Neurospora crassa OR74A: one gene and its partners. The protein of the gene in region 1 interacts with the protein of each later gene in a biochemical or structural test. Links are inferred from orthologs where the notes say so. Each region holds a gene or a part of one and is shown in the gene's direction. Other genes may lie near its edges.

Evidence for each region. The genes of interacting proteins can lie anywhere in the genome.
Region 2: the proteins of NCU00366 (region 1) and NCU02810 form a complex in vitro, tested with the Saccharomyces cerevisiae proteins (2 studies listed by BioGRID). The link is inferred for Neurospora crassa OR74A from reciprocal best matches to the Saccharomyces cerevisiae genes TIF5 and GCD11.
Region 3: the proteins of NCU00366 (region 1) and NCU07831 form a complex in vitro, tested with the Saccharomyces cerevisiae proteins (6 studies listed by BioGRID). The link is inferred for Neurospora crassa OR74A from reciprocal best matches to the Saccharomyces cerevisiae genes TIF5 and NIP1.

Annotation. Positions count from the first base shown.
Region 1 is NC_026503.1:3,590,881-3,594,480, forward strand, and holds the start of NCU00366 (eukaryotic translation initiation factor 5), read left to right. Parts: upstream 1-1,357; 5' UTR 1,358-2,242; coding exon 2,243-3,520; 3' UTR 3,521-3,600. Other genes in the region: NCU11030 (hypothetical protein), read left to right, coding at 1-30. UniProt on the Saccharomyces cerevisiae protein: Catalyzes the hydrolysis of GTP bound to the 40S ribosomal initiation complex (40S.mRNA.Met-tRNA[F].eIF-2.GTP) with the subsequent joining of a 60S ribosomal subunit resulting in the release of eIF-2 and the guanine nucleotide.
Region 2 is NC_026501.1:9,046,777-9,050,576, forward strand, and holds NCU02810 (eukaryotic translation initiation factor 2 gamma subunit), read left to right. Parts: upstream 1-888; 5' UTR 889-1,302; coding exon 1,303-1,820; intron 1,821-1,885; coding exon 1,886-2,872; intron 2,873-2,945; coding exon 2,946-2,976; 3' UTR 2,977-3,436; downstream 3,437-3,800. UniProt on the Saccharomyces cerevisiae protein: As a subunit of eukaryotic initiation factor 2 eIF2, involved in the early steps of protein synthesis.
Region 3 is NC_026503.1:1,003,827-1,007,649, reverse strand, and holds the start of NCU07831 (eukaryotic translation initiation factor 3), read left to right. Parts: upstream 1-1,134; 5' UTR 1,135-1,441; coding exon 1,442-1,814; intron 1,815-1,888; coding exon 1,889-2,871; intron 2,872-2,929; coding exon 2,930-3,823. Other genes in the region: NCU07832 (pre-mRNA processing splicing factor 8), read right to left, coding at 1-82. UniProt on the Saccharomyces cerevisiae protein: Component of the eukaryotic translation initiation factor 3 (eIF-3) complex, which is involved in protein synthesis of a specialized repertoire of mRNAs and, together with other initiation factors, stimulates binding of mRNA and methionyl-tRNAi to the 40S ribosome.

The DNA of each region.
Region 1 (3,600 bases):
TTGAAGTTTGAACCGATCGGTGGGCAGTAGGTGATGGTACAGGGGTCTTGCGGGATGTGTTTTAGACGGCTTGTATTACAATAGATGTAGCTGTAAGTATAGATGTTTGACAGTCTTGGTGTCTTGCCAAATGGCCACGAAAGGTCATCAAGAGATTTAGACAAGTTGTTTGTTTGCGAGCTATGAAAGTATACATGATACCTGCAGCCAAACAGATGCCCCTGGCTTGAGAATGAGAGACGCAGAGGTGAGAGATGCCGTCCCTGAAAGAAACCGTACACAATACCTAACGACTTAGGTGCATAGTAATTGCCTGTTTGGGGGGGCGCTTTGCCGGATACAGATCTACCTAGATATTGGTGCGGGCTGGTTCTACACTAGCTTGTCGCATGAGTCTAGTGTACATACCTAGAGGTAGTTGACTTGGTTAAGCGTTGATTGATATTGCCGCCTTCCCTTGACAAAACATATCGCGTGTGTTTCGGATTCTTCCCGAATGCCGCCCATTTTTCACATCCCCGTAACTCCGAAGTTTCCCAAGGAGAGAAATTGGCTTTCCCAGACAAGCTGTAATTGTTGTGAGACACCCAGGCACACGGCGGAGAGGGAGACCGTCACTTTCACTTGACCGACAACTACAAAGGCCTCCTCCGCCTGGCTCGGTTACTGAAAGTACAATGAACCAAAGTGGAACTGGTCTCTGGTGTGGATGGATGGACATTGCACAGACACAGGGAACGCCCCCATCTGCGTGGATCTTCTAGTGTATACCGGCTGGTCATCAAAGAGTCCCGCCTTTTCATCCGGCCTTCTGTGTCCAGGTGCCTTCTGGCCACCGTCCGGCGAGTCAGCTTGTTGCAAGAGGCATTCCTTGGGCCGGAACTCGAGCATCGAAAGCAGAGGCGTGGAAACGCCGAGTGGATGAGGGGCAAAATGGCATCAAAATCTTTCAAGTTCCCTAACTTGCCATTCGGAACATACGCCATTGCGCGTCCGTCCTGTTGCTGTGCTGCCCGTTGCAGTGGGCGGGGAGATGGTAAGCAGGTAGGAATGGAACGCGACGGGACCTTCTTCCATTGTCGGTGTCGAAACGAAGTGTGTGAAAGAACGAACTGCACGCAGTACCTGCACGGCAACTGGTGTTGCCTGGCTTGGAGAACGGACACATGTCTCGGGTACTTTGCCCATAGCCCGCTGGTGGTGGTGATTACCTGCCAAACAAGAAGTACCCTAGACTTGCTCTGCCATGAGCCACAGGTACTACACTAGGTAGTGTACAGTACATGGGGGGGCTAGCCAGGGCACCACGAAAATCCTTTGGCCGACAAATCCTCTTGCTTGCTCGTCCAGTGACTGCCCGCCTTGTTGCCCGTGCCCGGTTTGGCTCCATTCTGCAGCACCGATCCACATCCACTTGCTTTCTCGTCCTTTTTTAAAAACTCTTGCTTGCTGCCTCTTTTTTGCCAAACTAACCTCAACTTCATTCTACCCATCAACCGCCATCAGCAGCGACATCGTCCTTGAATCTATCCAAGACCACAAAGGCGACCGGGCTCTCTGTCCATCTGTCCATCAACTCCACCTCCCCCGGATTTCGGGTGCCGCACCACGGAAGTGAAGTGAATCCACTATCCCAGCAGAAACCCACACAAAGTCACTCGACTCCATCCGCTCCGCTCCGTCAAGAAAAGGAAGCCCGCTCGTCACAGAGGGAGAAAAAAAATTTCGCTTGCCTCAAAAGCCATCCTCTCCCGCCCAGCTTTCTGTTCCAGCACCGCCCAGGTTCAGAACAACAACCACCACCAGACCCAACATAAGCATTTTGCGCGACACAGCGTTGTTTATGTATCAGCACGACCAGCACGCCGTCTTCCGACACTCTCCCCCCGTCAAGCTGCATTTTCGCATATCGCGGAAACCCTGTAGCTTCCAACAAAGTACCGACGGTTGAATCGCCATTCCCACGGTCGTCTGCCAGCGTTAATGCCTACCTTCGACTTCGTTAACCACACGGTCTACCCTATGTCAACTCAAAGTACTCGTCAATAACTGACCCCTTTGGCTCGTCTCGCCTCTCGATCTTCCTCACACGCTCTCCGTGCAACAAGAAGCCTCGCTTTCCACGACATCGTCGACCAGTCTACTAGTCTGCCCTCGTTAGGTATCGTCTACCAGACTCCCAACAAACTCCAACAAAACAATACTACAAACATCATCCTGTTTCGCCGTCAATACCGCCAAAATGGGTGCTCTTATCAACGTTCGTCGGGACAACCCCGACCCCTTCTACCGCTACAAGATGGAGCGTATCCAGACCAAGATTGAAGGCAAGGGTAACGGTATCAAGACCGTCGTTGTCAACCTCAGCAGCGTTGCCCAGTCCCTGGCTCGTCCCGGTGGCTATTTGATCAAGTACTTTGGTTTCGAGCTTGGTGCTCAAACCAACATTGATCCTCCTGATGACCGCTGGATCATCAACGGCTCCCACGAGGCCGCCAAGCTCCAGGATCTTCTCGATGGCTTCATTGCCAAGTTTGTCCTCTGCAAGAAGTGCAAGAACCCCGAGACGGTTGTCCAGATCAAGGACGAGAAGATCACTCTCGACTGCAAGGCCTGTGGCCAGCGCAGCAAGGTTGAGCCCCAGCTCAAGCTGACCTCCTTCATCCTCAAGAACGTCCCCAAGAAGAGCAAGAAGGACAAGGCCGAGCGCAAGGCGGCCCGCAAGGCTCGCCAGAACGGCGGCGATAAGGAAGGTTCCGGTGACGAGAACGGTTCCGACCAGGCCTCTCCTGCCATCGAGGATAAGAACATTGAATATGCTAGCGACGATGATGAGCTCACTCGCAAGATCAAGTCTGAGGCTCAGAGCTTGCAGTTGGGCAAGAGAGAGGCTCCCAAGGAGGAGGAGTGGGCTGTCGACATGAGCGAGGAGGCCGTCCGTGCCCGTCAGCAGAACCTTCCTGGCGAATTCAAGCAGAAGCTCGTCCTGAATGGTGAAGAAGACGAGGAGGAGGAGGGTGGAAACACCGTCTACGACCAGCTCGGCACTTGGATCGAGGATGAAGCCAAGGCCAAGGGTGGCATTAACAATGTCGACGATGTCGAGATCTACCTCAAGGCCAAGGAGCTCGGCATTGATGCCAAGCACCGCACCGTCCAGGTTCTTGTTCAGTGTCTTTTTGACGAGAACATTGTTGCTCAGATCCCCAAGCGTGCTCCTATGCTCAAGAGACTCGTTACCTCCGAGCGTCACGAGAAGGCCCTCCTTGGCGGTACCGAGCGTCTCCTTGCCGACCTCGGCAAGGAGTCTTATGACAAGATTGTCAAGATTCTCCAGCTCTACTACCACCACGACCTCTGCTCCGAGGAGGTCATCACCAAGTGGGGTAGCAAGGCTTCCAAGAAGTACGTCGATGGCTCTACTTCCAAGAAGATCCGCAAGGCTGCTGAGCCCTTCCTCACCTGGCTCGCCGAGGCCGAGTCTGAGGAGGAGGAATCTGAGGAGGAGGACGATGAGTAAATCATGTCCCTCGCCACTGAGGATACTACTTCCGTTGCCGCTTGATGCCTAGTCTAGCTTGCTCTTTTGTGTTGTTTTGA
Region 2 (3,800 bases), on another chromosome or scaffold:
AACGCTTGCACAGCTGTTGCAGTTACTCCCTGCCTCAGTCCAAGATCACGGAGGACAACATTCGGGCCACTTGGCTCAACTCTTCACAGCGCTATTATCCCGAGACTGAGCCCTAGTTGAACCCTTATTATCCCAAGAGCGATGAGCCTCACCTTTCGTGAAGATATCGAATAACTTGACGGGAAAGGGTCGAATCCAGGAGAAGACACCTCGTGTCCTACCTTTTCGCTCCACAGTCAGGCATTGGCAGCAGGTACGACTTTGATGACGCCCTTAACCAAGCTTCATAGAGTTGAGACTGTGGCCATGACCAGCATCGTGGGTGCTCCTCAGAGTTGACGACGACAAGCAGACTCGGCGTTGTTGATGATGGATCAGCTTATCGACCCGGAAACGTTTGTATGTACGTCGAAGGATGCCGGTGTCAATGGGAGAGGCCGTTGCAGAGTAACGATTGTTCTCAAAGAAAGAAACCGGATTCAACTCGCCGATCGATACAATGTACCCGTTCTCAACGTTCAGTTGATATAATTCTCAGCGTTGAGTTACCGTGTACGCTGTGAGTAAGTTTCTGCCGACACAGACGGGACAGAGGGTTGGATAAAAGTGTAGATGGCGAACTCTTGATAGGAGAGAGGTTCCAAAAGTCACCTCAATGATGTTGAAGCTGAACCGTGACTGAGCTCTGGACTTTAGCACTACACTTACTTGGTCCTTATCGCGCTCTTATCGGCCCTTGTGGGGCAGGCGACGGTCGGGCTAAACCGAAAACCGTGCTTAGTGGGGCAGCGGCAAAGGCGGGAAGGGTTGGGCGCACGCAGGGCAGGTTCGCAGAGCGGAATGTGTGAGGCTCTCGCCTTGTTGGTCGCAGCTGGCAGCGGCAGCACAGGAAAATACCGACCTAGCACAAGCCAAATACAAGTCAAATATCGTCAGAGTCATCCACCAGGCAGGCAGTTTTTCTTCTCAGCCTTCCTCCAACCTTCGCTGTAACCCCACTATTTTGGCAGGTCCAGTTTTACTACCTCTACCGTCCACCAACAACGTCCGCTATCACAAATATCGCGAGTCCCGTTGCGGAGACAGTAGGACACCCACATACATACCCACACCAAGGAGCAGGGTCTAGAAAAGTACACAGCAACTACCAGGCATACACCACCCACTACACAGTACACAGCAAGAGGGGTTGCTTCACCGAAAGCGAAAAAATTACTGCCCCGCGACACATCCATCCATCGACTTGACGACCCAACCTAACTCACCTCCACACCTCACCTCCATCCACCCACATCCACAATCATGGCTACCAACGGCGACAAGTTTGGCAACGACATCGTCGAGTCCGACTCGGGCTCCGACAACGAGTCTCACGTCGACCAGCACGAGTCCGACAACGAGGTCGAGGCCAAGCCGCGCAAGTCGGCCCTCAAGAAGGCCCCCGCCCCCGTCGTCCAGAGACCTCCCCTTCCTCCCCAGACCGATCCCAAGGACCTCGACGTCAAGACCCTCAGCCCCCTCACCCCCGAGATCATTGCGCGACAGGCCACCATCAACATCGGCACCATCGGCCACGTCGCCCACGGCAAGTCGACAGTAGTAAAAGCCATCTCGGGCGTCCAGACGGTCCGTTTCAAGAACGAGCTCATCCGCAACATCACAATCAAGCTCGGTTACGCCAACGCAAAGATCTACAAGTGCGACAACCCAGCATGCCCTCGCCCGACATGCTACAGGAGTTACAAGTCCGAGAAGGAGGTTGATCCCCCTTGCGAGCGCGAGGGTTGCGAGGGCACCTACCGTCTGTTGCGCCATGTCTCGTAAGTTGTTTAACATAACATCATTTGCGCCAATGAATGACTGACCATGTGTCTCCTCCTCCCAGCTTCGTCGACTGCCCTGGTCACGATATTCTCATGAGCACTATGCTTTCAGGTGCCGCCGTCATGGACGCCGCTCTCCTCCTGATTGCCGGAAACGAATCCTGCCCTCAGCCCCAGACCTCCGAACATTTGGCCGCCATCGAGATCATGAAGCTCGACAAGATCATCATCCTCCAGAACAAGGTCGATCTCATGCGCGAGGAGGCCGCCAAGCAGCACTACGAGTCCATCCTCAAGTTCATCCGTGGTACCGTTGCCGGAAAGTCGCCCATCATCCCCATCTCGGCCCAGCTCAAGTTCAACATTGACGCCATCAACGATGCCATCGTCAACACCATCCCCGTTCCTCCCAGGGATTTCTCCATGGACCCCCAGATGATTGTCATTCGTTCCTTCGACGTCAACAAGCCCGGTGCCGAGATCGACGAGCTCAAGGGTGGTGTTGCCGGTGGTTCCATTCTCCACGGTGTCCTCAAGCTCGGCGACGAGATTGAGATCCGTCCCGGTATCGTCACCCGTGACGAGAAGGGCGACCTCAAGTGCACTCCCATCTTCAGCAGGATTGTCTCCCTCAACTCCGAGGCCAACGACCTCAAGTACGCCGTGCCCGGTGGTCTCATTGGTGTTGGTACCCGCATCGATCCTACCCTTTGCCGTGCCGATCGTCTGGTCGGTTTCGTCCTCGGTCTCAAGGGCCGCCTCCCCGAAATCTACTCCGAGATCGAAGTTAACTTCTACCTCCTCCGCCGCCTTCTCGGTGTCCGCACCGCCGACGGCAAGCAGGCCAAGGTCGACAAGCTTGCCAAGAACGAAGTCATCATGGTCAACATTGGTTCCACCTCCACCGGTGCCAAGGTCTCCGCCATTAAGAAGGATGCCGCCAAGCTCATCCTCACCTCCCCTGCCTGCACGAGCATCGGCGAGAAGGTTGCCCTTTCCAGACGTATCGAGAAGCACTGGCGTCTTATCGGTTGGGCTACCATTGCTGCGTAAGTTTTTTTCTTTTCTATTTCTTTACCCCATAACTTATCACCACTGAATAACCACTAACAAAAAAAACAGCGGTGTCACCCTCGAGCCTTCTACCTCTTAAGCGAGCGACCAGAAAATATCCAAAGTTTATACATCGCTTGATTAGGAGGAAAATTAAAAGGTTGTTAATTTTTGGTTGCTCTAATGATGAATATCCAAAAAGTCGTTGGAGGATGATCAAAGAATGGAAACTTGGGCGCGGACACGGAAGGAAACGGCGTAGCGTGGGGAAACCGGGACCTGTGTTTCTAAAAACTAGCCTTGTGAAATTTGTACATGGTCTTATTTTTATCCAACTTGGGGCCGAGGACAGTAGAAAGACTGGTCATACGATTCGTTGAAGAAGATGAGCGAGGAATGTTGTGAAAAGAGGAACTCGTGAAGAGAAGCGCATTATCGGACCATTAGGAGTTTTTGTACAAAAAGTTATGTTTGGTACCGACGTACTTTGGGTTTACCAAGTAGTGGTAGAGGTAGAGAAGATGCCATTACGTTGATTTTGTCAAGGTCCGACGTACTTGGATTGAGTTTATTAGCCAGTGGTGATGATAAGAGTAAACTTGAAAGAGTGAAGTAGAGAAGATAAATACATTGATTCCGCCATGAGTCTTCGACGTAATGACCATCTTACCATTATACTAGGCTATGGTAATGGCTCGGATAGATGGAAAGAGTCCAAGAATATACCTAACAATACTCTTCATGGGACACAGTCGAGTATGTATCCGTACGTAACTCTATTCATTTTTCTCTTTCTAGACCTGATAGTCTATCATACCTATCACAATTCCCTCCCCCTTTTGAAACTGAACCACACCCGAAAAAAACCTTCTTGTCCTTCGCTAATTACAACACCTGATATTATAACAAGTCTCAGTCTATCAA
Region 3 (3,823 bases), about 2.6 Mb from region 1:
GAGGCGGCGGCGGCGGAGGTGCTGATGGCGGCGGAGGAGCGCCCCAGCCGGGGGGAGGAGGTGGTGGTGGCGGATAGGACATTTTTTCGATTTCTGCTTGATGAAGCTTTGTTGACGTTTATGTGGTTGTTTCGTTGTAATCGTCTTCGTCAGAAGCGTGTACCAGTCGGCGTTGGCGACGAGATGGATAGAAGGCTGGATACCGTGAAGTCGCCTGTCCGCGCGATGGCGGTTTGCAGTCCGCGTGCGTCGTTCCAAGGCCTGTCTCGCTGAGGAAGAGAAAAAAGGACTGGCAAATATTAGATTCCCATTGGTTTTAGATGGAAATGGGCGTAGGTCGACCTCGCACCAAATCGCGGCGATGGTCGATCAAGCTGAGAATGGAGAGGTGGATGTTGTATTCGTGAAAGTGTGGTTTGGTGGCGCCAGGATGCTGGCGTTGACGTTGGCAGGTTGGCCTCGTTACGAAAAACTTGAACAGCCTCGCGACAGCTGCGTGGGCGGTCGATAAAGTTCAGAGGTCAGGGCGGGCGGTCCAGGTCCTGGCGCGCAAAACGGGAAACCTGGCAGCGGGATTCTTCGCTGTGCAGGTGCTTGTTGGCAGCTGCAGCCCGGTAGCGTCCCCGCCACTCCAGTTAGTGAAAGAGGGCCTGGGGTTGGTTGCCTGCAGCGACTGGGCAGGCTGGGCTGTCACTTCTCGACTTCGTGGCGAAACGTCTCCTGTTACGTACTGTAACTTTCGATACGCAATCCCCGTTACGTGGTAGATCTGGCTTGACAAGCTCACAGCACGTCTCAGATGCATGTAACCGAGTATAGTGATACATTATCAGTTCAGGTAGCTGATACATTGAAGGTGGGGCATCAGCTGGCTGGCTGTTTGCGCCCAAGTACCCAGACGACAGGTGTTGAATCTCATAGTGAAGGCCTGACAAAGCAATGCTTGATATTGTTCCCTCGCTCCGCTCGCCAAAGTATACACAAAAACCCGTTCCTCTGACAGATCCCTCATGCGAACATCTGCAAGGTTCAGACCTTATCTTCATCTTCTAGGAATCCCGTCCTGCGATCTCCAAGCGGAAGCAGGTACATTCAGCTCATAAGTTCAGCCTCCCCCCCGCGGAGCAAGTATCCTCTCCCCCCACACCCCTTGCTCGGATTAAGTCATACCCAATCATTACAGCGCTCGAGGCCCAAACAGCTCCGCTCGATTCGCTAAGCCCCAAATCGCCCCCACCAAAACGGCCTTTCAGTGAAAATTAATTCTTTGACCCCTCTGTCCGCCTCGCCGCAGCCGGGTTTTGCTTTGCCAACCATCCGGACCATCACCACTTCCGTCCACCACTCCAAGTACCCATACCGGTAACCCGGACTTCTGCATCGCGCCCATACCCCCGGAACCCGCATATTTATTCCGAGTCTATCGAAAGAGACCGCAACCATGTCTCGTTTCTTCCGCGGCGGTGACGACAGCTCCACCGACAGCAGCTCCGAGGAGGAGGAGGTCTACACTTCGGAGGAGGAGGAGGAGAAGGTTCAGGCCGAGGACGAGTCTTCGTCTGAGGAGGAGTCTGACGAGGAGGAGAGCGACGAGGAGTCCAGCAGCGACGAGGAAGAAGGAACCAAGAAGAAGGGTGCCTCCCGTTTCTTGCAGAGCGACGACGAGTCCGAGGAGGAGGAGGAAGAGCAGAGCGACGATGAAGCCACCACCAAGGTCAAGAGCGCCAAGGACAAGCGCTTCGACGAACTCGAGTCCACCATCAGCCAGATCCAGAACGGCCAGAAGATCAACGACTGGAGTCTTATCGCCAACGGTTCGTATATCTTTCATGCATGCATACACCCTCGATATGTCCTGCACCGATACTTACTCCCCTCCCCGCTTTAGAATTCGACAAGCTCAACCGTCAGGTCGTCAAGCTCCAAGATGGCAGCAAGGCGCCCAAGTCCTACATCAAGGCCATTGCCGATCTTGAGGACTTCATGAACGAGACTCTCGCCAAGCAAAAGGTCACTCCCAAGAAGATGAACGCGACAAATGCCCGTGGTCTCAACGCCGTCAAGCAGCGCATCCGCAAGAACAATAAGGAGTACCAGACCCAGATCGATGCCTACAGGAAGGATGCGGACGCTTTCATGGAGTCGGATGATGAGGTTGCCGCGCCCAAGGTTGTTTCCAAGGTCCGGTTCGAGGCTCCCGTCGTCAGTGCTGAGCAGCAGGAAGAGGACGACAAGGGCTTCTCTACGGTCGATTCGCGCGGCAAGGTTGTTCAGTACACCCCCGAGAGCATCCTCAAGCACCTCCGCGCCATTATCGAGTCTCGCGGCAAGAAGAACACCGACCGCCTCGAGCAGATCAAGGTTATGGAGACCCTCAACAAGGTCGTCCCCATTACCCCTTACCAGAAGATCCGTGTCCTCCAGACCCTTATTTCTGCCCGCTTCGATCTTGGTGCTGGTGGCGCCGCCCAGATGCCTTTGGACCAGTGGAAGGCCGCTGAGCGTGACCTTGCCTCTCTCTTGGAGATCCTCGAGAAGGAGAAGGACCATGTTGTTGTTGAGGGCGCTGAGGAGTGGGATGATGATGACAAGCTCCCCACCATCCCCGAGGGTGAGAAGTACCTCAAGGTTCCCGGCAGCGTTGTCTCGCTCATTGAGCGTCTCGATGACGAGCTCACCCGCTCCCTCCAAGCCATCGATCCTCACACCTCTGAGTACATCGACAGGCTAACCGATGAGGGCTCTCTTTACAACACCATCTTCCGTGGTCTTCTTTACTACGAGCACCTCCGCAAGGATGCTTCCCTCGAGGTTCCCCAGGAGAGCTTGAACCGCATCATCCAGAGGCGTCTGGACCATGTTTACTACAAGGTATGTATAGAGCTAATGCTGGAATACTCAGCCGTCTTTGCTAATCATCTTCTTTCAGCCCGCCCAAGTCGTCAAGATCCTCGAGGAGAACGCGTGGAAGCAGGTTTCTGCTGAGGCCGATTCTGAAATTACCCCCCGCAGCCAATCCGGCGATGCTGGCAAGCTCATCAACATCCTTTCTAACTACCTGTTCGAGAACAGCGAGGGCATCATCCGCGCCCGTGCCATGCTTTGCCAGATCTACTTCTTGGCTCTGCACGATGAGTACTACAAGTCTCGCGACCTGATGCTCACTTCCCATCTTCAGGAGACTATCGCCAACTTCGACATCGCCACCCAGATTCTCTACAACCGCACCCTCGTTCAGGTCGGCCTTTGCGCTTTCCGCAAGGGTCTCGTCTACGACGCCCAGAACACCCTCCAGGAGATCTGCGGCAGTGGCCGTCAAAAGGAGCTTCTTGCTCAGGGCGTCATGATCCAGCGTTACAGCCAGGTCACCCCTGAGCAGGAGCGCCTCGAGAAGCAGCGCCAGCTTCCCTTCCACATGCACATCAACCTCGAGCTCCTTGAGTGCGTCTACCTTACCTGCAGCATGCTCCTCGAGATTCCTCTGCTCGCCCAAACCGGTTCTTCGCCCGATGTCAAGAAGAGGATCATCAGCAAGACCTACCGCCGTATGCTCGAGTACCATGAACGCCAGATCTTTACCGGGCCTCCGGAGAACACCAGGGATCACGTCATGCAGGCCTCCAAGGCCCTTGCTGCTGGTGAGTGGAAGAAGGCCACCGACTTCATTCACAGCATCAAGATCTGGGACTTGATGCCGAACACCGAGGGTATCAAGACCATGCTCGCCAAGCAGATCCAGGAGGAGGGTCTCCGTACCTACCTCTTCACCTATGCTCCTTTCTACGACACTCTCGCCATTGCTACCCTCAGCTCCATGTTTGAG